2 linked regions of the Arabidopsis thaliana genome follow. The protein of the gene in region 1 interacts with the protein of each later gene in a pairwise test. Each region holds a gene or a part of one and is shown in the gene's direction. Other genes may lie near its edges.

Evidence for each region.
Region 2: the proteins of AT1G26800 (region 1) and PTR1 interact in a protein complementation assay, tested with the Arabidopsis thaliana proteins (one large-scale study listed by BioGRID).

What each region holds. Positions count from the first base shown.
Region 1 is NC_003070.9:9,281,204-9,293,359, reverse strand, and holds AT1G26800 (RING/U-box superfamily protein), read left to right. Parts: upstream 1-6,964; 5' UTR 6,965-7,169; coding exon 7,170-7,784; 3' UTR 7,785-8,335; downstream 8,336-12,156. Other genes in the region: RNS3 (ribonuclease 3), read left to right, coding at 78-276, 377-600; AT1G26815 (FBD domain family), read left to right, coding at 2,166-2,486; GALT1 (galactosyltransferase1), read left to right, coding at 4,033-4,816, 4,908-5,143, 5,237-5,518, 5,607-5,735, 5,827-6,006, 6,088-6,195, 6,286-6,498; AT1G26799 (Plant self-incompatibility protein S1 family), read right to left, coding at 8,980-9,435; AT1G26798 (Plant self-incompatibility protein S1 family), read right to left, coding at 11,105-11,560; AT1G26797 (Plant self-incompatibility protein S1 family), read right to left, coding at 11,952-12,156. UniProt on the Arabidopsis thaliana protein: E3 ubiquitin-protein ligase involved in protein quality control (PQC) under proteotoxic stress. Is essential to plant survival under proteotoxic stress. Functions by removing damaged proteins before they form cytotoxic aggregates.
Region 2 is NC_003074.8:20,041,198-20,055,136, reverse strand, and holds PTR1 (peptide transporter 1), read left to right. Parts: upstream 1-6,391; 5' UTR 6,392-6,689; intron 6,690-6,946; exon of another isoform or gene 6,947-6,978; 5' UTR 6,979-6,982; coding exon 6,983-7,088; intron 7,089-7,481; coding exon 7,482-7,699; intron 7,700-7,783; coding exon 7,784-8,337; intron 8,338-8,417; coding exon 8,418-9,252; 3' UTR 9,253-9,534; downstream 9,535-13,939. Other genes in the region: AT3G54160 (RNI-like superfamily protein), read right to left, coding at 110-421, 503-643, 818-1,669; AT3G54150 (S-adenosyl-L-methionine-dependent methyltransferases superfamily protein), read left to right, coding at 2,395-2,544, 3,369-3,995, 4,141-4,335; AT3G54130 (Josephin family protein), read left to right, coding at 10,708-10,962, 11,655-12,242; AT3G54120 (Reticulon family protein), read left to right, coding at 13,004-13,073, 13,176-13,356, 13,421-13,632, 13,720-13,868. UniProt on the Arabidopsis thaliana protein: Peptide transporter. Mediates the transport of di- and tripeptides. High affinity transporter with low selectivity. No transport of amino acids.

The sequences.
Region 1 (12,156 bases):
ATTTTGGGACTTCGGAAATTATTAACCACAAGAAAAGAATCGTAAATAACTAATGAGAATCGAAAACTTTTATAAAGGTTTCTGATCTGATGAGCGATTTACAAAGAGAATGGCCAACGTTGTCGTGTCCGAGCAATGATGGTATGAAGTTTTGGACACATGAGTGGGAGAAACACGGTACGTGCGCTGAGTCCGAGCTTGACCAACACGATTACTTCGAAGCTGGTCTCAAGCTCAAACAGAAAGCTAATCTCCTTCATGCCCTTACCAATGCTGGTACAATATTCACTTGTTTTGCCCTTCATTTTGATCTCCATTGTTAGTTATGTATAAGTGGATGTTCTTTTCTTATTATATTTTGTGTTGCATGATGTAGGGATCAAACCGGATGATAAATTTTATGAAATGAAAGATATTGAGAATACGATCAAACAAGTAGTTGGGTTTGCTCCGGGCATTGAATGTAACAAAGATTCGTCACATAATAGCCAACTCTATCAGATTTATTTATGTGTTGACACTTCGGCCTCCAAATTCATCAACTGTCCTGTTATGCCGCATGGTCGATGCGACTCTCGAGTTCAATTTCCCAAGTTCTAAATTTTATGGCTACATTTTTTCTATGTATTTACATTCTACCTATTAATTTTTATTTGTGTTTCTTGCAAAATTTAGTTGTAATAAACAGTGTATAATTGGACGATACCCGTGATTTGCATGGTAAAAAGATGATAAAGGTTACTAATTTGTTTCTAGTTAAAATACTAATTTACAGTTCTCTTACAATGTTATGGTGAGAAAATTGTTCTGGTAGTTCCTTGCTGAAATTCAAGGCATGTATAATTTATACCAGTTAAATTAATGTTTTGTGAACATAGAATACATTCATGTGTACCTAGCCTGTTCATGCATGATATCTATTGAAGGATCCAATTTCCTTGCATCGAAATACTGCGGGCACAACATGCATCATTGGCCTAGCTTATTAGATCCATTACATATTGTACTATTCATTTTTTTTCCCCGGACATCTTAGGTTAAAGATAGCATCATTTTTCTAAAGTAACTGACATTAGCAAACACCATGAATTTTGCGTGAAGAAAAAAAATATTGTAGGGCCAAATCTTTATCATTTTCTATAGTATGAAGATTCCAAGACTGAGGTTCTCGCCCGCACGAGAAGGGCGAGCTTGAGGTGTTTATCTGCAAGGAGATGGGTGACGACGGGTCTAAAGTTGGGTGGGTTTGTAGATAGAAGGCTGAGGAAGCTTCGGTAACCACCGCTCCATGGAGACGGGTCATTAAAACCATGTTTTGATTACTGTTAAAAGCCATGTTTTGATTAAGCACAATGCATTTCATGCATAAGCGGTTGAACATTTTTTTTTTACTCTTTAGCAATATCGTGAGCCATTTGTTTTTGTTATAACATGTACATAAGAGAATGATGTTGAGCTATCAAAAATCAGTAAAATATAGACTCAACGATATATAGGATAAAGATGAGGTAAAGGTTGATGAAGAAGAGGATAATGATCGGTTGGTGAGGAAGAGGATAATTAGGTTGATCAGGTAGAGGATGATGATCATTGATCACAATGGATCGTTGGTAATAGATTGCCCTTCATTAACAGATGTGGACTTAGTTGACGTTTGGGAAGACTATTGCTTGATAGAGAATATGTCTTGCCTTGATGTGGCAGACACTGGCTTTGTTCCTAATCCCGATACCAAGTTTCTTAGATCTCTTTCTTCTGATGTATGGATTTGCGCTTGACCAAATCAATGGTAGCCATTTTATATATCTCTCTCTCTCTCGTATTCCTTGTTGTTTCTTCAACTAATCTTCGTTTTCCTCTATCATAAGTCGCGTGTTGTAGCGCCATTAACTTCTCTCTGCTCATAACGTTTTATTTTCAAACACAAAATTCCGTAGACTGGTTAGAACCACTTATGTTTTTGCTTCAAAATTCTCTAAAACTGAAAACTCTTATGATCAACGAAAACACGGTAACAAGCGCATCCATCTAATTTTGATGAACTCAACATTATAATAAACTGTACTGATACCAGGACTTCGAGGGTCTCCAACCTTCCTGGAACCAGTCGAGTTCTATTCCCACATGCCTGTCAACTCATCTAGAGATCTTTGGTTGGAAAGACAATGGAAGAAGAGAAGATGAGAAACAATTTAGTGACATACATTCTCGCAAACTCAAAGTGTTTAAAGACAGTGGAAATCTCCCTCATAGCAGCCTTCAATCTTAAGGAGAGGCAAAAGGAGTTAGTTACCATGCCTAGGATTTCAACATTATCTAGGCTTCTATTCCCCATCCAAATGGAATGGGAGTTCAATGAAACAACTTTTTCATTATATATATTGTCATATACAGTATATGCTATAACTACTCAAGCTGTCGTTTACAGATTGCAATTTTTTTGCCTTATTAACTCGAAAACTCTAATTCAGCCAACTTTTTACTAGTCGAGATGAATTTTTTTTTAAGCATATACGTACAACAAGGCTAGATTTTTTCATCATGAGTAAGTTTAACAAAGACTGTGTGCTTGCAAAGTCATCATGAGTAGGTTGTTTTGAGTCTCTTATGTGAATTAAACAAAACAAAAAAAACAACGTGAACATTTCAGTCCAATTTTGTTTGTCTCCCTACGATTCAACCAGCAAAAGAAAAAAGCACATAAAAGCAAAAAATGGGAATCAATATATTGAGACGTTAATTATGACTGGCATGTGTATGTATATTGTATGGTGGTGCGTTACAAATGAAAGCACCCTCATATCTCTCGCTATCACGACTTGGGAACTTGTTTTTACCCCTTCAAGTTTCGTTTGCCAACTTTTACTTACTGTTTTTTTTTTACCAGTTACTTTATTTTACTTTTTGCAATCAAATGTAACTTTGTTTATTTAAAAATGATGTTTCTAGAGGGTCATCAAAAATATCAGTGATTAGGCATAATTGTCAAATCTTGATAATTCAAAGATCTCGTTTATATGTGTTTAGTAATTTAGTCATAGACTCAACCAAAAAACTTTAGTGATCAAGTGATACTTTTTTTTTTTTTTTATCTTCTTCCAAAGCATGCAAACAGAGGAAATCAAAATATAAATGTAATCTTTTAAAACTACGGTTGTAATTAAAATTACTTTTTTTTTTTTTTTTGTCGTAAATTACTAAATTAGTATTGAATTAAGTTAGAAACTATTTCTGTGTATTTTCTTAGAGTACCTTGTGTATAATTTTGTATGAAAATAGCTAAAGAACTATCGGTAACTTTTCTTCACTTTACAGTTTTGTTTTTTACCTCTACAGTTTTTACAATTTTCGTTCTTGTTTTACAGTTAAAAAAAAATAGAAAGAAACATGAAACCACCTTCGCTTTCTCTGCTGGTGGAAGGTGCTTCGATACTACGACAAAGAGCAGCGAACTAGTAAAGCCTCGGAGATCTGAATCCCATTTCAATCAGCAAATCTTTCCGTCTCTACTTCTCTGTTTGCCGGTGTACCGGATTCTGATTCCGGAACAGACATTGCTTAATTTTGCTTCCCTTTGGCCTGTAAGCAGATTTTCAATTTTTGCTCTGTGTTTGATTTTCTTATATAGTTGGTTTAGTAAGTTCTTCTATGAAGTGAGAACAATTCTGGGCACTTCTGATTTTTTAGTCTCTAGTGATTTTAACTAGTCTATTGTGATTTTGTTGAATTTCAATTTTCTCAGACTTAACTGATAAAAATCTGATTTTTTTTCTTCTTCTTATTGTTAAGCTTTGATGATATTTTTGGATCTTGTTAATATTTAGTATAAAGTTCGTGAATCTAACATTATCATGGTTCTGCTGAATCTATACTTAAATTTGAAAATGACTTATGTTGATTAAAAACCATAACTTTTTTTTTTGTGTTTCAGGGATTGATTGAAGTTAAAAAATAGCTACATTGTACTGTAAGATTGAATATTGATGATCTCGCCGCGCGATTTCTCGTTTGAGTGATTTTCGGCTGTGAAAAATGAAGAGATTTTATGGAGGGCTTCTTGTTGTATCAATGTGTATGTTCTTGACGGTGTATAGATATGTAGACTTGAACACTCCTGTTGAAAAGCCTTATATTACTGCTGCTGCTTCTGTTGTTGTTACTCCTAACACCACTCTTCCTATGGAATGGCTGCGGATTACTCTCCCTGACTTTATGAAAGAAGCGAGGAATACTCAAGAAGCGATATCTGGTGATGATATCGCTGTTGTCTCGGGTTTGTTTGTTGAGCAGAATGTGTCTAAAGAAGAGAGAGAGCCTTTGCTTACTTGGAACCGTTTGGAAAGTCTTGTTGATAATGCACAGAGTTTAGTTAATGGAGTTGATGCTATTAAGGAAGCTGGCATTGTTTGGGAGAGTCTTGTGTCTGCTGTTGAAGCTAAGAAACTAGTTGATGTTAATGAAAATCAGACGAGGAAAGGAAAAGAGGAGCTTTGTCCTCAGTTTCTAAGCAAAATGAATGCTACTGAAGCTGATGGGAGTAGTCTGAAGTTGCAAATTCCTTGTGGTTTGACTCAGGGTTCCTCCATCACAGTTATTGGCATCCCAGATGGTCTTGTTGGTAGTTTTCGGATTGATCTAACGGGACAACCGCTTCCAGGGGAGCCTGATCCACCCATCATTGTGCATTATAATGTTAGGCTTCTTGGTGACAAATCGACGGAAGACCCTGTGATTGTTCAAAACAGCTGGACGGCATCTCAGGACTGGGGAGCTGAGGAACGCTGTCCAAAATTTGATCCTGATATGAATAAGAAAGGTGAATGCAAGTATAGTTTCACCCGCTTACATAAATGTAGTCACTTGATCCTCCATGAATAAGTCTGTGTTGACATGATTATAATACACAGTGGATGACTTGGATGAATGCAACAAGATGGTTGGTGGAGAAATTAACCGAACTTCTTCAACTAGCTTGCAGTCCAACACTTCAAGGGGAGTTCCAGTAGCCAGGGAAGCATCTAAACATGAAAAATACTTTCCTTTCAAGCAGGGTTTCTTATCGGTTGCTACACTTAGGGTGGGAACAGAGGGAATGCAGATGACAGTTGATGGGAAACATATAACTTCATTTGCTTTCCGCGATGTAATATCATCACTCTTCTTATATATTTTTCTACTGCTCTTAGCAATTTTCCATCAAATGTTTAGTGTCTCATATGGGTTCTTCGTCTTTCAGACACTGGAACCGTGGCTTGTTAGTGAAATACGGATTACAGGTGACTTTAGGTTAATATCCATTCTTGCCAGCGGTTTGCCCACATCAGAAGAATCAGAGCACGTTGTTGATCTAGAGGCACTAAAATCACCTACCCTTTCACCATTAAGGCCACTGGATCTCGTTATTGGTGTTTTCTCCACTGCAAACAATTTTAAAAGACGGATGGCTGTGAGGAGAACATGGATGCAGTATGATGATGTAAGATCTGGAAGAGTTGCAGTACGCTTTTTTGTTGGCCTTGTAAGCTTTCTCCCTCTCTGAAAATATCAGGAGTATGTTGGAATTGCATAATTCTAAATGATGATTTTCTTTGTGGTTGGTAATGCAGCACAAAAGTCCTCTTGTTAACTTGGAACTCTGGAACGAGGCTCGGACTTACGGTGATGTTCAGCTAATGCCCTTTGTTGATTATTACAGTCTCATCAGTTGGAAAACACTAGCCATCTGCATCTTCGGGGTAATAATATAGTTGTCTTTGTCATGTTTCTTCCTAGCCACAGTTGAGTAGTCTTTACTGTTTTGCCTCACTAACGTCATATTTTAAACAGACAGAGGTTGACTCAGCCAAGTTCATCATGAAAACGGATGATGACGCCTTTGTTCGTGTAGATGAAGTGTTACTTTCTTTATCAATGACCAACAACACTCGCGGGTTAATATACGGACTGATCAATTCCGACTCTCAACCTATTCGAAACCCTGATAGCAAATGGTACATCAGTTATGAGGTACAACACAATCTGACATAGCTATGTTTGCAAATAGACTGATTTCTGATTCATTTAACGAAGTTTCTACTCAAAAAACAGGAATGGCCTGAAGAGAAATATCCACCATGGGCGCATGGTCCAGGCTACATTGTATCTCGTGACATAGCAGAATCGGTTGGTAAGCTTTTCAAAGAAGGAAACCTAAAGGTATTGTACTACTCTATGCTAACTCCATTCAATCACATTTCCGGATTCACATAGAAATGGATTGTGAAAATTTTTGAAATTTGTGAATAGATGTTTAAGCTAGAAGATGTGGCAATGGGGATATGGATAGCTGAGCTGACAAAACATGGACTCGAGCCTCATTACGAAAACGATGGAAGGATCATTAGTGATGGATGCAAGGATGGTTATGTGGTTGCTCATTACCAAAGCCCTGCCGAAATGACTTGCCTTTGGCGTAAATACCAAGAAACCAAACGCTCTCTTTGCTGCCGCGAATGGTAAAACGTGAACGCACATATTTCAACCATTGCGTTTTGGTTCACGTGTCCTTCCACAGGTACATAAGAAAAGAGTTCATTCTTTGGTCACAAAATATTTGATTTTGTTTGTTTGTTGTACAAGTAGACTAGATTTGCAGTTTAGTTTTACTTTTACGTGTGTATATTACAAAGATGTACTAAAACTTTCAACTGATAAATAACAATAGGAGCATATTTTATCTTTTGAGAATTTGATATGAATCAATTGTCATTGCTTACTCTTCACAAATGTTTACGTGTAATCCACTAGGGAGTGAATCGTGTCACTTCAAGTAAAGATCCGAAACCAGTGGAACTTTTTCTTTTCTTCTTATCCACCATCATGCATATAAATATGTGCAACAGCCTTCAAAATTCCCAAAAACACCCTTCGTCGTCTTGAAGTATAACTCTCTGGAATGAGGAGAGTTTAGACAAATCATAACGTTGAGTCAGAGAAAAATATAACATAGATATTTGCTAATGGATAAGCATATCGATAACATCAATCATTGTCTTCAACTTAATTTATTTTAGGCCCATGGGAAGAAAAGTCTTCTGCGTTAATAATTTCTAGATCTTTCCACAACATTCATACGCAACTCCCTTAAATCTTGAAACGACCAATTTCTTCAAAACAATAGTTTGTTTGCGATGGCGACAGAACAAGAAGCTGAAGTTGGAACAGAGACATCCTCTGTTTCCGGAAGGTTTTTGAGGAACAGAGATTTATATCTCTTCTTGCCTTTTCTCTTAGGCTTCTCTGATCAAGAATCATCAAACGGAGATGATGATGATGTTGCTTCATCGCGTGAGAGAATCATTTTAGTCAACCCTTTTACACAAGGAATGATTGTGCTCGAAGGCTCATCAGGAATGAATCCTCTGCTTCGTAGCTTACTGGAGTCACGTGAGGAAGGTCGTCCTCCTGCGTCCAAGGCTTCCATCGATGCGATGCCGATCGTTGAGATTGATGGCTGTGAAGGAGAGTGTGTGATCTGTTTGGAGGAGTGGAAGTCCGAGGAGACGGTGAAGGAGATGCCGTGTAAGCATAGGTTTCACGGTGGATGTATAGAGAAATGGTTAGGGTTTCATGGGTCGTGTCCTGTTTGTAGGTACGAGATGCCTGTTGATGGAGATGAGATTGGGAAGAAAAGAAACGATGGGAATGAGATTTGGGTTAGGTTCAGTTTCAACGATGGTCGGAGAATTAGAGATTTTTCTGCGCAGGACGGTGGAAACAGTGATGGTGTTGAGTCCGAGAATTAGGATTTACATAAGAAGCTTTTGTAAAAAAAACTTGTGCCTTTTTTTGTTCTTGTTCTGGGAAAAGGTTGATGAACTTTTTTTGTCTTAAGATGGTACAAAGTAAGCTCAGGAATCTCCATAATCCTCATCAAACCCTGAGGCATCACTTCTGATATCACACATAACAAAGAGAAAAAAATGAAAAAACAATCAAGAAATGTGCATAAGACCAAACCACAAACACTTCTTGATTCCTTGATTAAGAGTTTTCAGAAGGACAAAGAAGATAGAGACGAACTTTCTGGCCCACCAAGTTGATTAACAGCATCGATGAATCTGTTTTGAAGCTCACAACTCCATTTCAATCTCTCCTTAGATTCCTTTGACTTATGGTTCTTATCATTTACCATGTTCTGTAGTAACAATCAAGAATGATCCCAAACGCAAAAACATTACTCTGGCCACAATAAAGATTAAAAAGAAGGATTTTATTTTCACGATTGTTGCACAGATATGGAGATTAAAAACATGTAGTTGTTGGAGTTTGCTTTTACGCTTGTTCTTCAAATCTTATTCTCACAACATAACTGGAAACATTAGTTGGGAATATATGCTCTCTTGACTCTTTCCTCTTTCTTTTTCTTTTATTTATTTACCTTTTTCTCATTTTACGTTTTAGTATTTGACTACATACAATATTTGTTTCCCTTTCCTCGAGTACTTCCGGATTTCACACAACTTTTTGAATACATATTTTTTCTATATTTTTGGAAGTTTTGTGTAAACGCTTTCTTCTTTGACCTGAAGTGGGGTTAGACAGAATATGATCCAATAATGTCAAAACAAAAAGTTTCCATGAAAATTATAATAGACTGAAGTTTATCAAGCTCATTACTTCTCCTTAATTATCTCGACAACTCCATTTCCATACTTCTCTGCATTTCTTTGAATTTCCCTACACTATATCATAGCATGTAATAAAACGCCAACAAACATTTGTAACCAAGAGATTAAAAATGTTGTAGGTGTATAAGAAATTTAGTCTATGATCACAATTCACAAGATATAGTAACCCTTAAATATGCTTATTTTATTACCATTATAAACCACGAGAAGGAAAATAAGATGCAACAAATACTGTAAAGCAATTTTTTTTTTTTTTTTTTGTCACACTGTAAAGCAATTAAAATCCCATAAAATATATATAAAAGAGCCTCTATCGATCCCATGTAAAGCATATAGAATGGCCTCCGTCACGTTTTTCACGACAAGGGGCTGGTTCATAAATGTACCATATACATTCTCTACATATCCCAATAGGACTTGTTTCATTGTCGTCTCTGTCTGCCCTAAAAATATCAAATTTCTCTATACTTCCGGGCCACTCGAAAGTGCAATTATACGTTGTTGTTTTACGAAGATTGACACGAAACCTGAAATCGAAACTAGCTCCGATTGGGAGCTTTTGTATCCCCAAATCTTTCTCTTTATTCACACAATGTACGACCAATGTTGCACGTGAGGTCAATGTGTTGTAGATCACGACATGTTTAGGTGAAAATAGCAAAATTCCATCGTTGGACGAATGATTTCCCAAAGATGACAACTTTTTTAGGATAAATAAAAATGAGAGAAGCACGGAAGTGAAGTGGTTATTTGTTGAGGAAGCCATGGAAGGGTTTACTGGTTTGTGACACAATATTTTTCCTTGTTTCGAAAGTAGTATTTATATGTAGATGGGAAAAATTGATTATATATCATTTAATTACTCATTAGGAGGGGAGAAAGGAAGTTAAAATCTATTGTTCTTTCCCTACCAAAAAAAAAAAGGTCTATTGTTCTTTAAAAATAATCTAACTAATAATTAGTTATCTTTATTGTTCTTTAATTAATTAATATTTTTTAAAGTGTGAAAAAATGATAAGATCTCTCTATCCCCTATATATTAATTAAGAAACATACTTAAGAAAATAACCTTTAGCTACTGTAGTATTTACAGAGATATCATGCTGACGTGACGCAAGCAGAGCAATTCTCAACCAACTTAATTCGTTGTTCATCATTTACTAGATTATTTACAAAAATTGTCATTAATATTATATATAAATATTCCAACAACATAAAAAAAAAAAGCAATTTCCAATTAAAAATATAGTAAATAATTAAAAACAAAATTTCAATTAAAACAACCTAACTAAAGAGATTTAATATGGAAAATTGAATATATACAAAAAATTAAGATTTGGGAGCTTCATAATCTTGACATCTTTCCTCTATTACTTTTATATATTTAAATCTAAAAATAAATATTCACAATAAATAGGATTATCTATTTTCATCATATTTCTAATCAGATTTTACCAATACATTTATAATTTAAATTATTCCCAAAAATATAATATCAATTAAACTTAGTTAAATTTTAAATATTCAGAAAATTCTAAAAATATAATAAGAATTAAATTTAATCAGAAAATTCCAATTTTGTTTTCTGTTAAAATTATAAAATAATATCTAATATATTTATACAACTTATGTATGTTTCATATCAATTAATGTATATGTAATAATAATTTTACTTCAAAAAATTATTGGTTTAAATAAAATAAAACGCTATATGATATGTTTCATAATATACAAGCACACAAAGCAAAACAAAATTACACACAAACACACATGATTTGGTGACTATTTGGTTTGCAAAGGACAAAGTAGATGGATGAAGCTCACAGTTCCATCTCAACCTCGGGTTAGAGTCCTTTATACTATACAAGTATACAACTGATAAAGTAAGAGAAATGGAAAGAGACACTCAAATACTTTGCTGTAGAATAATCAAAGCCCGTCTTGGATTTAGAGAGAATATAAAACATACGTATATGAAATTGCATGGGGATGTAAATAGGCTTATATAGGTTTTAGTGACAAATAGTGAAAAATATGTAACAACAATTTCAAACAGCTTATTTGTCTATTTAATACTATTCGGATACAACGAAATGAAAGAAAAATACCAGAAATATTCTACGATGATTAAGAGCTTGATTGGTATGCAGTTTTTTCACGTTTTCAACAATTCTGATGAGTACTTAGTTATTATTCATAAAACTGTGATCAATGATAAAACATAAAAATAACACGTGGTTATTTAATTTTTCTTGCATGTTTTGAAATTATAACCAAACTAAACAAACTTAGCTTTATTCATCTATCTAATACTAGTTTTTTGGCATTTGGAAAAAAAAAACATTTCTCTTCAATTTAAAAGTGTCGTTATTCTATTGATTCCGATATTTCACAATTGGTCTATTCATCTGTTAATATGATATACCATTCAATCTCTAAGATGTCCATGAAAAACAGAAAGGAGCCCCTCCATCGCGTCTAGCACGACATGGACCTGTCTCACAAATATACCAAATACATTCTCTACATATTCCACATGTACTTTTTGAATTATCGTCTCTATCTACTCTAAAAATATCAAATGTCTTTGCATTTCCTGGCCACGAGAATGTACAAGTGTATGTTGTTGTTCTGCGTAGATTGACCCGAAACCTGAAATCTATTTGTTCTTGAGGTTCTAACGCATGAACCCCTAGATCTTTCCCTTTATTCCTACAGTGCACGACCAATCTTTCATGTGGGTTCAATGTGTTGATGATTATAACATGTTTAGGTGCAAACGGAAGATCAACATCGACAGATGTATAGTTTTCAAACGCTAATGACGTTTTGAAGATAACTAGAGTTGTGATTAGCACGGAAATGAATTGGTGATTTGTTAAGGAAGCCATGGATGTATTTTGCTGGTTTTTAATATACTTGGATTTTCTGTGAAGTAGTATTTATGAATTAAAAAAATTGTGAACTATTATCTTCTTGTTATTTCCTTGACAAAACATTTAATATACCATATAATTAGTCATATTTAAAATGATGTGAAATTTGTCAATTAAACAAAAAGATGTGAAAATCTGTAGATAATAAAGCTTATAATGATGTATTTTCAAGTAAAGGTTTTGAAATTATAACTAAACTAAAGACACTTTATTCATCTACTAAATATTAATTTTTGGCATTTGAAAAAAAAACATATATATTCAATTTAAAAGTGCCATCTTTTTATTGATTCCGATATTTCATAATTTGTCTTTTCATCTGTTAATCTGATATACCAGTCAATCTCTAAGATGTCCATGAAAAACAGAATGGATCCCCTCCATCGCGTCTAGCACGACATGGACCTGTCTCACAAATATACCAAATACATTCTCTACATATTCCACTTGTACTTTTTGAACTATCGTCTCTATCCGCTCTAAAAATATCGAACGTCTTTTCATTTCCTGGCCACGAGAATTTACAAGTGTATGTTGTTGTTCTGCGTAGA
Region 2 (13,939 bases), on another chromosome or scaffold:
AAGCTGTTATATACAGAAATTGCATGGATAAGAAAGACACTAAACAAACCAGCTCTCATGTCAACAACAAACCGGAAGCTCATTTGTTTCTCTTATCAGATATGGAAGTTCATGCTGAGGCAAAACAAACTGGAAACTTGACCTCGACTTTGCATTCAGACGAAGCTCTTTCGAACATTAGGAGATCCAACATGATCTGCAGCTTTTTGTCATCTCCTTTTACCTGACCATGAATTTCCAACAGCTCAAGACTCGGCAATTTCTCCAAGATATGCTTTATTTGCACCATCTCTCCGATATCTCCCTTGAACTGGGTTATCTTTAGAACCTCAATATGGCAGGACGATAAGAAAGAATACACCTCCAAACAATCGCAAACAGTGTTCTCATCCCCATAGTGATTAGTAGTATAATGCAAAGCCTAGAAAAGACAGGAATTTTGAGATTGAAGATTTTGACTCTTTAGTTTGTCCAATATACTTTTGGGGGTCTTAGGTCATACCTGAATGGTGAGAGTCTTTAGATTTGGAGATTTCTCAAGCAGAATTGGTAGAACATTCCAACAGAAATCTACTTCAGTGCTAAGTGATAAATGAAACAGGTTTTCAAACACTGGTACTGCTTCTTCGAAGAAACAAAACACCTGAAACAGAATTAAAAACAACTAAGTCAGTCATTACTTGAGCAAACATTCTAATCACTAGCAAGATTGATATGATCTTAGTATCTCAATGGTTCCTAGATTTAAATTTCCTCATGCTCTACTAGTTGTTAAGCTACAGTAACATATTAAAGAGAAACAATAGCGATCACTTACCTGCATCGTGTCAACAACGCCTAAGCTCAGAATCTGAACATTTTCTAAGCCCTTAATCAGATTCTTAACATCGTAGGTATCGCCAACCATAAAAAGAGGAAGTTCTAGCTTAGCTTCAACAAGGGACTTGAGATCAACAACTGGATACCCATCTCGGAGAACATCAAAGTATTCGAAGTATTCAAGACTCGGAGTATCAAAACTAATTGACTCATAACTAGAGCCATCAAGATCTTCCCAGTCTTCACGCCGAATAGTAAGTTTCTTAAGGATCTTACTAGACACAATGCGAGACCATTCCCAATCTTCACGGTTGTTCCTATATATCACTAAATCCTCTAGCACAGGGCAAGCAGAAACAAGCCTTGTAAACGCACAACCACCACTTTTATCAATGAACCGAACTTTATCAAGAAAGAGAGTCTTAAGAGCTGGAAGCAAAGCGTTCTTAGGGATATTGTCAATAACAAAATCAGAACCTAGTTTCAATTTCACAACTTTCTTGCAAGTGAAGACCTCAAATGGCAATTTGTAAACTTCATTGACATTGATGTCCAATTCAAGATCCAAAACACCTCGATTCAACACATTGCGTAGACATTCGTTGACAAGATGGTACTTAGCTGAATCAAATTCCAAAGAACGTAGTTTCAAAGAGAATCTCCTTATACGGTAACTGTCACGTCGAGCTAGTAATCGAGAAACGAAATCTTTGAAGCTTCCATTAGTTTCAAACGAAGGATTATAACCAACATTCGATATGATCGTAACCAGATTCGGGGATTTTTTGGAGGCTATGTTTAGGTTCCAGAGTTTAGAAACGATCTCTTGAACTCTCACGATCTCACTCATGGTTTCATGAATTGTAGTCGAAACTCAAAAGCGATAAAGAAACGCAATTGACGAAATTTGATGTACGAGTTTCACGGTGAACAGTGATTTTAGCGTCTATATCGGAGGAATCACATACTACACCGGAAAAATCCAGTATAAACGGCAAAATCCGCCGGAGTTACAGTTACAAGATCAGAGCAACGACACTGCTCTCGTGAAGAAGAAAGAGTAAAAAGCGCTCGAGACCCTCTCTTTTCCTCATTTTAGTCTTCACTTTATCAACTTTATCTTGTAAAAACTAAACCCAAGAGATAAGCCCAAAATTGAGCCCATTATGACTTGAAACTTCAGCTAATGAACTTGGGCCTAACACTAATACAGATAAAACACAGATTATATGTACAATTTTCCTTTTTCGAGATTGAAAGAAAATTGATTATAACTAAATCATTTTTTTCTCTACCATTTCGTGGAAACTTGCATTGCCTGCATATTGGTTTACAACTATATACTGACTATTTTGTCTTCGACAAAAAATATATTAAAACAAAAAAGTCTTAAACGACGTCTTAGGAAGGACTTGCAGTGAAACTTTACCTCACGCCAAGTTGGACTTGGTTAAACTTTTTCATAATATATTAATAGAAACAAGACTATTCAAGACTCGAGAGAGTTTAAATAGAAAACGAATTAGTTGTGTATTCAAACCAAGGAAAGAAAACGAGAGAGGTACGTAGAAGAAAATGGCTGCCTTATCAGAGAAAGAGGCTGAAGCTTATCTCGACGCAAGGCCTAGATATCCGATCGATTGGTTTAAGAAAATTGCCGCACGGACACAGGACCACAAATTTGCTTGGGATGTTGGAACTGGTAATGGTCAGGCTGCTATTGGGGTAAGCTTTATAATACTATATATCTTCTAATTTAGATTTGGGAAAATCTGAAAACCTTCATTTAGTATGAAGTTCTTTTTTATTTTTTTTTCTTTTTTTTTTTTTCCTTTAGTATGAAGTTCTAGTTAGTATGATTTGTGATACTGAGATTTGCTGATAAATATCTAGCAACAAGGTAGCTAATTTACTTAGGAGGGCCTCTTTCAGTGAATCATCATGTGATCATGTCTATCATTCTAAAGATTAGTCAAACTTGGTTGCGGCAAATTTGATTGTTGTTATTCAGCCTCTTGATCTTGTTATTTTTATCTTTTTAGTCAACGATCTTTGCTGTTTTATTACGTATTTAATATATGCATAATTTTTTATAGATATTTTTAACCTAAAATAATGTTTAAAAAAATATTTACATCAAAAAGAGGTAGGAAAAATGAAGTTACGTAACTTATATAGTCTTTAGCAAATGAGCTTAGACTGATTTGGAAGAAAATGTAAATTAAAGACAAAACTGAGCTTAGATGTTGTTTTGTTTTACTAGATTCACAAAACATTAATATTTCATCAACGGTAAATGAGACCATGCATGTGGAATTGTGGGTATATCATACATATATAATGTATAGTAAGTGAATTTGTTCAAGACTTGCAACCTAGTGATAAGTATTACTGTCGTCACCACTCAAGTTATAAACTGAAATATATGTTGTCAAAATAAGTTAAGTGAACTCGCCTCTTGCAGATTGCCTATTGATGTTTATGCATGCACATATAGAATATAGTAGGTGAACTAAGCTTGACAATACCATGAAATCTATAATTTACAGCTTGTGGAGCATTACGAGAATGTAGTGGCTACCGATATAAACGAAGCACAACTTCAACGAGCAATCAAACACTCAAGAATCAGTTACCATCACACTCCAACAACGATATCAGAAGATGAGATGGTGGATCTACTCGGGGGAGAAAACTCCGTGGATCTCATAGTTGCTGCTCAAGCTGTCCATTTCTTCGACCTCAACGTATTTTACAATGTTGCAAAACGTGTTCTTCGTAAAGAAGGAGGCCTAATCGCCGTTTGGGTATACAACGATATCATTATCTCGCATGAGATCGATCCCATAATGAAGCGCCTTGTCGACTCTACTCTACCTTTTAGAACTCCTATTATGAATTTAGCATTTGACGGTTACAAGACATTGACATTTCCTTTTGAGACCATAGGGATGGGTTCCGAAGGAAAGCCTATTACTCTAGACATTCCGCATAAACTTTCGCTTAAAGGGTTTATAGGGTTCTTGAGATCGTGGCAGCCCGCGATGAAGGCTAAGGAAAAAGGAGTAGAGCTTATAAATGAAGATCTAATAACCAAATTTGAGGAGGCTTGGGGTGATGAAACCCAAGTGAAAGATGTTTTCTACAAGGCTCACATGATTGTTGGAAAAATTCCGGTATGACTACAACATCTTAGGCAATCATTCAATACGTTAAAATATACTTAATTTTTTACACTAAAATAACAACTAGTGTTTTTTTTTGGTTAAGGAAATATCAACTATTATTACTTAGGTTTTGGTACAATTTGTCTTTGAACAGGAAGAAAAATTCGAATCTGATCAAGTACTGTCTAACAAAGGTCGTCTCTTGCTTGAAACGGAGGTTGGGAGAAACCAGAAAAGACCACAACCATCCGATGAAGGAGACAGACAAAGTAAGAAACAAAATACAAGTGAAGATGACGCATGCAAAGATAAACCATCGTCAGTTTTTAGTACTCATTACAGGTTTTAACCAAAAATAGATATTAAACCATTTGAGAAAGCAATAACTCTTATTTGGATATCAGTTCATTATTCCGTATTAAAGCCGTTGGTTTTTGTACAACTGAGTAATAAAGTTCATGTTGAGTATGTCAATTATTGGATTTGGGAGTTCCAAAGAAAATTTTGAAGACTTTATGTAAAATGGAAACATCTGGTGGCGAAAAGAAATGAAAATTGGAGTTTCCATTCACCATACACAAAACAAAAAAAAAAAAAAAAAAAAAAAAAGCCTAGATGTAACCTTTCTTTAGCGGTCATAATATAATGTTTTCGTGGATGTGAATTCTTGACGCCCAAAAATAAGGAATTTTTAATTCATTTATCTAACCTTTTGATAAAATAAAATAAAACTACACGCTTATTTCAGGTTTGATCTGTTGTGAGATTAGTTACAACTTTTTAAAAAGTTAATGGCAAACAAAGTTGTCGTCGATAGTGATGATACCTAGATTACCTTTTAGCTTTTCTTTCTAGAGAGTTATCTTCCCAAACAGCTCTCAAGTATACGTTTTAGCTAGCTTAGAGAATTGATCTTAATTTCAGAAAGAAAAAAAAAAAAGAATGCTTTGAATTGAAGCACAAATTGGTTTTTCTTAATTGGATTTGAAGAATCAATGGATTAGACTAGAATCAAAAGGTCAACTACTATGATTCCCGTGAAATAATAATCAAATATGAGTGATCCAAATTTCTATATAATTGCACATCATTGATTTGTGGATCTATCAAGTGTTATCTTTTACTTATATTTTCAGTTAGATCTGACAACAATTTTCGTACTTATTCTATTAAAGTTGGACCTCGCAACAACCTTTCATATCAACGTTGAAGTTTTATAGTTAATTATTAGTTCTTGATTTTAAAATGTGTCAAATGATATAATGATTAGTTCAAAGTTCAAACCACTGATCAAAGATTACTTACTCACGTTGCACAAAATCCACCTTGAAACATCATAGTCTCGATGTCACATCCCAACAACTAGTTAATGTTTTAACAAAAAAAACAAAAACTAGTTAGTGTACTTCAAAAGTATATATTGGTATAACTGATTAGACGAATATGTAAGAAAAGTTGACTACAAGAGTATGGAAGCCGTGGTAAGACTTCCAATGAAATAAAAGCAATCAAAGCACACTGTTTTTTACCTATTTTATTTATTTATTTATTTTGTTTGCAACTAAACGTCATCAATTTAAAAATTGTTAAATACATCAAATATGTTTTCTTTATAAATATCAAATTTGGTCAGATATATTTTCTTTTTCAAATTTAGCTTCATAAACATCAAATTTTACTTTTGGTTTTGTCTCTTTAGTTTGTTGGGCTTTTGGAGTAAAGAGTTCAAGTCCAACAACTAAGTCGATAAACAGCCAAATCCTCGTAGATAAACAGGATCCAGCTACATATGTCGATTCACATGCATCTTTTAATATTCGTCCTCGGTGAATCTTTAGATCAACGGTTACTTTATTACTAATTGTCATTAGCACCTCTTATTTTAGCATAACCAAATCAAACACCTTTAATTATCTTTCTAATATCACTACCCTAGTTTATATTTTAAGATCCACTGAGACCTTAAAGCTGAAACAATGTTTTTAATCGAGGGAGTGATTAGAGATTTAATCAAATGGATTTAGACTGAACCACCAAATTGAATATTGAATCTAGTGATGTTTTTGGCTTTATTTTCACATATCCAAAATCAAACATCAACCAAAACCAAATTTAATAAACCTAACTATTTTTTTTTTTCAAAATCGACAATCTGATATTTAGAGTATGAACACAAGTTTCAAATAAAAAAAGAAAGAGTATGAACTCAATTTTATAAGAAAACTCCAAATCATCTTATTGACCAAAGTGTTTGTATTCACACTTGTATCTTTCTTGTTTTGAGTAGGAGTTCTTTCTTGTTATCTTTCTGGTAATGTCAATTCCGTAATATCGGATAAAAAACAAAAAGAGTCCACTAAAGTTTTGGTGGATGATTAACACGTCCTTCGATATTGATCTATTTACACTTTGGAGTCAAAACAAGATAATATCAAAATCTGATAGCACAATAGGCCTTGCGGCTCTAACTGAAATATACAAAAACTCAAAGGGTTAAACTGCAAACATGAGAAGAAAAGTGAGCAACGCTCCTTTCTATTTCCTTGGATATAAAAGCTGTACGGGACCAGAGCTCTGCAAGTCTTTTTTATAAGCTCATGCTCATTATTACTCCGACAAGTGCCGTGTAATTCCTCGCCCTCGGCTACTCTTTTCTCTTCTTGCCTCTCGTCTCCGCCGCTGATTCAGCTGCCGCCGACAAAGGTTTCTCCCTTTTTTCTAAGTCTTTTATGAGTTTTCCTTTCGTTACAAGTTACAACCATAACCTCATCTGGTCACACATAAACTATAATTTCAGAGCATGAAAATTTCGTACTTGCTTGCTTCATCTGCATATTTCGATCTAAGCATCTACTAGTCAATTTCTTTCACGTATATTTTTAAGGGTTTTCTCATAACCTTATACCTGAAGTATGGATCTCTAAATTGGGGATCTTTAGGTATGTGTTTGGTACATCTTTCTTGAAAAAGCTAAACTATTTTTCTTTATTAGGAATATGGAAGAAAAAGATGTGTATACGCAAGATGGAACTGTTGATATTCACAAAAATCCTGCAAACAAGGAGAAAACCGGAAATTGGAAAGCTTGCCGCTTCATTCTCGGTAACGTTCTAATCGTTTCACCAATCTTTTTCTTCATTATTGCCGTATAGGACCTGGACCAGCTTAAGTAATGGCCTCTCGTGTCCCCTGTTTTTTAAGGTCCACTAAAAACATTTACATGTAAATAATAAATGTAATGATTAAAAAGAGATTATATACGATTAAAAGCAAATTGAATGATAGAGAACAAATAAAATTTAAAATATTATTGGAAATGTTTAGTTTTGTAGGGTGATCACTATGAAAAAAGAGTTATAAACCTAAAATCTGCTCTGTTTTCTTCAAAAAAATTGTCTAAATAAAGAAAGGGCCATTATATTTTTTTATTATATAGCTTGGGCCCTGATTGGATCTATCCATATAAGATTAACCAGTTTTATGTGTTTTGTGTAGGAAATGAGTGCTGTGAAAGATTGGCCTACTATGGCATGGGCACTAACCTTGTGAATTATCTTGAGAGCCGTCTGAATCAAGGCAATGCTACGGCTGCAAATAACGTCACGAATTGGTCTGGAACATGTTATATAACTCCTTTGATTGGAGCCTTTATAGCTGATGCTTACCTTGGACGATATTGGACTATTGCAACTTTTGTTTTCATCTATGTCTCCGTGAGTTTTACTTGTTTCTTATCTTTTGGTTAAAAATGTGAATCTTTTGGTTAAAACTAATTAAGTTTGTTTTTTCTCTTGAAGGGTATGACTCTTTTGACATTATCAGCTTCAGTTCCTGGACTTAAACCAGGTAACTGCAATGCTGATACTTGTCATCCAAATTCTAGTCAGACTGCTGTTTTCTTTGTCGCGCTTTATATGATTGCTCTTGGAACTGGCGGTATAAAGCCGTGTGTTTCGTCCTTTGGAGCTGATCAGTTTGATGAGAATGATGAGAATGAGAAGATCAAGAAAAGTTCTTTCTTCAACTGGTTTTACTTCTCCATTAATGTTGGAGCTCTCATTGCTGCAACTGTTCTCGTCTGGATACAAATGAATGTTGGTTGGGGATGGGGTTTCGGTGTTCCAACAGTCGCGATGGTTATCGCGGTTTGCTTTTTCTTCTTCGGAAGCCGTTTTTACAGACTTCAGAGACCTGGAGGGAGTCCACTTACTAGGATCTTTCAGGTTATAGTAGCGGCTTTTCGGAAGATAAGTGTTAAGGTTCCAGAGGACAAGTCTCTGCTCTTTGAAACTGCAGATGATGAGAGTAACATCAAAGGTAGCCGGAAACTTGTGCACACAGATAACTTAAAGTAAGAAACTAAAGTTTGAATCTTTATCCTAACTTCAAAAATACTCTGTTTTCAAATCTAAAGTTTTGAAAACATCTCAGGTTTTTTGACAAGGCAGCGGTTGAGAGTCAATCTGATAGCATCAAAGACGGGGAAGTCAATCCATGGAGACTATGTTCTGTTACTCAAGTTGAAGAACTTAAGTCAATAATCACACTTCTTCCAGTTTGGGCCACAGGAATAGTCTTCGCCACAGTGTACAGCCAAATGAGCACAATGTTTGTGTTACAAGGAAACACAATGGACCAACACATGGGAAAAAACTTTGAAATCCCATCAGCTTCACTCTCACTTTTCGACACTGTCAGTGTACTCTTCTGGACTCCTGTCTATGACCAGTTCATTATCCCGCTGGCAAGAAAGTTCACACGCAATGAACGAGGCTTCACTCAGCTTCAACGTATGGGTATAGGTCTTGTGGTCTCCATCTTTGCCATGATCACTGCAGGAGTCTTGGAGGTTGTCAGGCTTGATTATGTCAAAACTCACAATGCATATGACCAAAAACAGATCCATATGTCGATATTCTGGCAGATACCGCAGTATTTACTTATCGGTTGTGCAGAAGTTTTCACCTTTATAGGTCAGCTTGAGTTTTTCTATGATCAGGCTCCTGATGCCATGAGAAGTCTCTGCTCTGCTTTGTCGTTGACCACGGTTGCGTTGGGGAACTATTTGAGCACAGTTCTTGTGACGGTTGTGATGAAGATAACGAAGAAGAACGGTAAACCGGGTTGGATACCGGATAACTTGAACCGAGGCCATCTTGATTACTTTTTCTACTTGTTGGCAACTCTCAGTTTCCTCAACTTCTTAGTGTACCTCTGGATTTCAAAACGCTACAAATACAAGAAAGCTGTTGGTCGAGCACATTGATCAAGAAACTGGTGTGGAAGATATTTGGAGTTAACAGTATTTGTTTGAAAAGTGTTTTGCTTGTAAATGTTTTTTGTATGTGGTCTAGTTGTTGTTGGTGTGTTAGGTTTGTTTTGGTTTTGCTTATGTATTTCTGAATACTTCCAGTCTTCCACTTATATGTAAAAGGCTATTGGTAACTATTTTATGAGCTTTTTGCTTAAAGCTTTTTGACCGTCTGATAATATGTCCTCCTATATTTTGCCATTGCTCTTAAGAAACTTATTATATACATTGGAAGTTATAAGCAATAAGCTGGGAAATAAAATCAAAAACTAAACAACAGCATGGGAAATCTTAACAAAAAGCAAAGCACATAGGATCCTATTGTCAATACATATGTAAACTTACTACTAGACATTAAACAAAGAGATCAAGTATTTTCTTCTGTTTCTTTGAAGATGTCTTTACTTTTGACTATATATCTGAACTGTTTGGAAAATGCTCAAGATCAGGATGCATAAGGAAGCCCCCTTGGCTTCTTGGAGGTTGTCTAACAAGATTGAGACAAGCAAGCGTCAAAAACAGATTTTGATTCTGGGGTTTATTTGTTCAGTAAAACCCATGGTTTATATATATATAGTCAGAAACAAGCTTTTTATTGAGCTCAACTATATGCACATAGAAAAAGAGAAAGTTTTTTTGTCATTTTACGAATGTGGTGGTGCGATGAAGCCAGGTTTGGTCACTAAATGAGCGGAAGCGGAAATAGCCAGCAGGACTATCTGGAAATGAAACCAAACCTAATCATTTAACAAAGTATAATCAACTCTAGCCTTGCAATTATATGGCTAAGAAGGAAAAATTTAGACCATAATAAGAGTTTAGAACAAACAGGTAGAAGTAGTAGATGTATTACCTTGATGAAAGAATCAGAGGGCGTAAAAGCTTATACAGAATCTCATTCTTTAAATCTGTCACTAACTTATCTAAATTCTTAAACTGTTCACGGACATTGCTGCTAGTGCTCTCAGTAGTATAATTCCTAACTCTGTATTAGTGCTCTCAGACGTGGTTATTACGAAATGCAGGCATAAACCAACCCGATCATACCCATCACATTATCAGAAGTCGCCATCAAAGAGATCACCAGAAATCTTGGGAAGCAAGGAACCTAAGTTGGTCTGTCAATTTTGAGATAATGGGCCTATCTCAAAACAGTATCGGGCTCGTCTGCAAAATAAGAAAAAGGCCTAGAAAGTCGGTTATTACACGTGGCATCCTTTTATTGTATATTTACTTTTCCGTCCCTTACATTTTCTTATTTAAATAATCTGTTAACTTGCTTCTTCTTCTTCTTTCTTCATCTTCATCTTCATCTTCGCTTCACAATCTCTTTGAGACTTTTGCATCGGAGCAATAATAATATATTCATCGCAAAATCAGTGAATTTTGATATTCAAATCTTAATCGGCGATGGAACGAACAAGCAACGGAGGAATGTTGTATCACGAGGTTCAAGAGTCAAATCTGTGCGCCGTACACTGCGTCAACACGGTGTTGCAAGGGCCTTTCTTCTCTGAATTCGATTTGGCTGCCGTCGCCGCCGATCTAGACGGGAAGGAGCGTCAGGTTATGCTTGAAGGTGCTGCCGTTGGAGGTTTTGCTCCCGGCGATTTCTTAGCTGAAGAGTCGCACAATGTTTCCCTCGGCGGCGATTTTAGTATCCAGGTACGAATTCGCGATGAAATTGATAAATCTTGAGTTGCATTCAACATTTATATATTGTAAAGCCTTTTTGTTATTGTGTTGTTGGAAGTTTAGGCAAAATTAGGGTTTCGATTTTATGGTGCTTTTGATTGCTGTGTTTATGCTGAAGTGATAAACTTTTGAATGGTTGGATTCGTTTTTAGATAGATTCAAGAAGAATTGAGATCAGTAATGGTGTGAATTTGCGATCTTTACTTTGGGTTAAAACTCATTTGTTGAAGGCTAGTTTCATTGTGCGAACATTGCTATGCTGATAAATGGAGGAACTTGAGATGATTTTTTTTATCTTGGGACTCAATTGTTTTGGATATGTTAGTTATTAGTGAGGTTCTGTATATTCAATTATCATCTTTTGTTTCTTGGATAGCTTTAAACCGAGTTGGTTGATAACTTGATATTTGATTAGGTTGCTACAAAAGTCAGGTTTGATTGCAAGATTTATGTATTGAGATTCAAGGGTATAGTATGGTGTTTTACATCACATTTTTAGATATCTAAAATTAAAGCTATTTTAACGGATTACGTTGAAGTTGGATGCGGATAAAACACTGCAAACAGAGGGTTTATGCGATTGGTGTAGCATTTTAATCTTGCAAAGTTGATCTAGTCTTTGCTTATTCGTTTAACTGAGAATGCTTCTGTTTGATTGACAGGTCTTGCAAAAAGCTTTGGAAGTGTGGGATCTACAAGTAATTCCACTCAATTGTCCAGATGCAGAGCCTGCGCAGATAGACCCTGAGCTTGAAAGCGCCTTTATCTGCCACTTGCATGACCATTGGTTTTGTATAAGGAAAGTGAATGGCGAATGGTATAACTTTGATAGTCTCCTTGCTGCCCCGCAACATTTATCGAAGTTCTACCTTTCTGCGTTCTTAGACTCTCTCAAAGGCGCAGGATGGAGTATCTTCATAGTGAAAGGAAACTTCCCTCAGGAATGTCCCATGTCGTCTTCTTCTGAAGCTTCCAATAGTTTCGGGCAGTGGCTTTCTCCTGAAGACGCAGAGAGAATAAGAAAGAACACGAGCTCAGGTTCTTCTGCCAGAAACAAGAGAAGTAATGACAATGTTAATCAACAAAGACGGAATCAGGCATTGTCACGTGAGGAAGTGCAGGCTTTTTCAGAGATGGAAGATGATGACTTGAAGGCAGCAATTGCAGCAAGTTTGCTTGATGCTTCTGCTGCTGAGGCCAATCTCGGAGCTGTGGGCACTTCTGAAAAGGAAACTGAGAAACAAAAGTAGCAGAGAAAATAGAGAACAAGTGTTATTGATGGAGGTGGTGGGATATTCACTTTTGTTTCTTTGTTTTGGTTTGTTATCAAGAGTTATCAACAATTTTACATACAGAACAGAGAAAGAAAAAAGCTTACATCGAAAGATAGAAAACAGAGGATAATAAATGGTTTGTGGAATTGTTTTTGTTTGATTTTTTTACCATATTAAATTCTTCTGACAATCTTAAATTGAGGATAAAGATTCGACCTTTTCGAATTCATAGGAAACTACATCTGAAAAGGGTACATAAATTACTTCAGTTGACTAAAAGTAGATGAATGACCAATTTAAATGTGTTCTATGGAAAATATAAAAGGATGGTGTAAAATTTGATTCATCTCTAAGTACAATCTGGCGAACTTTTACAGTTTGAAAAAAACAAGAAGGATAACACTTTTAGGCTGGAAATAAAAACATCGAGAGGACAACAAACACCTTCTTTTTCCCTAAACAGAGCATAGCCTTTGAATTATTAATTAATTATTTGTATATTCAAAGTTGATGGCTTTGATGATGATGGTGATGACCCAACTTTAGTCTCTTCTTCACTTTTTATTTTTACTTTCTTTGTGATACATCAGGTTCCTTCGATTCGAGCCTTTAGGATTTCCTTTCACATAATGATCTGTTTCTGACATTCAGAGAAAGATATACATATCTGGGTTACTTTTGGGATCTGATCATCTGAGGAAATCTGAATCCAAGTTTGCTCTGATCTTTCTTCTCAAATGAGTTCTTCTTCGGACAAGTTGTTCAACAGAGACAGGACAATACATGAGATTCTGGGAGGAGGCATTGGTTAGTGAATACATTTCTTTACCAAATCCAAAACTTATAAAAGCTAGGTGATCTCTCACCTCTATAGCCTTTTTTTTTTCTTGTTATGAAATGAATCTGCAGTTGCAGATGTGATGCTGTGGAGGAAGAAGAATGTGAGTGTTGGTATAGTTACAGTGACAATAGCTTCATGGATGGTGTTTGAGGCATTTGCTTACACTATCTTTACTCTTATTTCAAGTGTTCTTCTTCTCTTGCTCTCTATTCTCTTCCTCTGGTCCAAATCTGCTTCCATTCTCAACAGGTATATTAATATTCACTTGTAACTAATATTACTTCATTTCTGATTCAATTTCTTGGCTCTTCAGGCCATCACCGCCGTTACCGGAGTTTCAAATAAGTGAAGCGATGGCGGAAGAAGCTTCGATATGGTTACGTATTCATGTGAACAAGCTACTCCAAGTTTCGCATGACATTGCAATGGCAAGAGACTCAGAGTTGTATACCAAAGTAGCAGTGTCACTGTTTCTTCTCTCATTGATCGGAAGTCTCATGGATTTTCAGACACTTTGCCACACCAGTAAGTAGATATTCTAAAACTCCTATAGACTTGGAATGCTTTTGAGCTGGATATTCATTTTGTGGTTGTTCTTGGTTAATTTGGCAGGCGTTTTGGTGGTTATGACGGTTCCAGCTTTCTATGAGAGATATGAGGATTACATTGTTGGCTCTATTGAGTTTATCTGCAACAAAACTAGAGAGCTTTACCTTAGACTCGAGATATGGGCTAATCCGGAAAATAAGAAACTGAGCTGAGATGCTGTCACCTCTTTCTTCTTCAGGAGTTTCTTTTTCTGATTTTTCTCGGTTTTGTGGAAAGAAAGGAG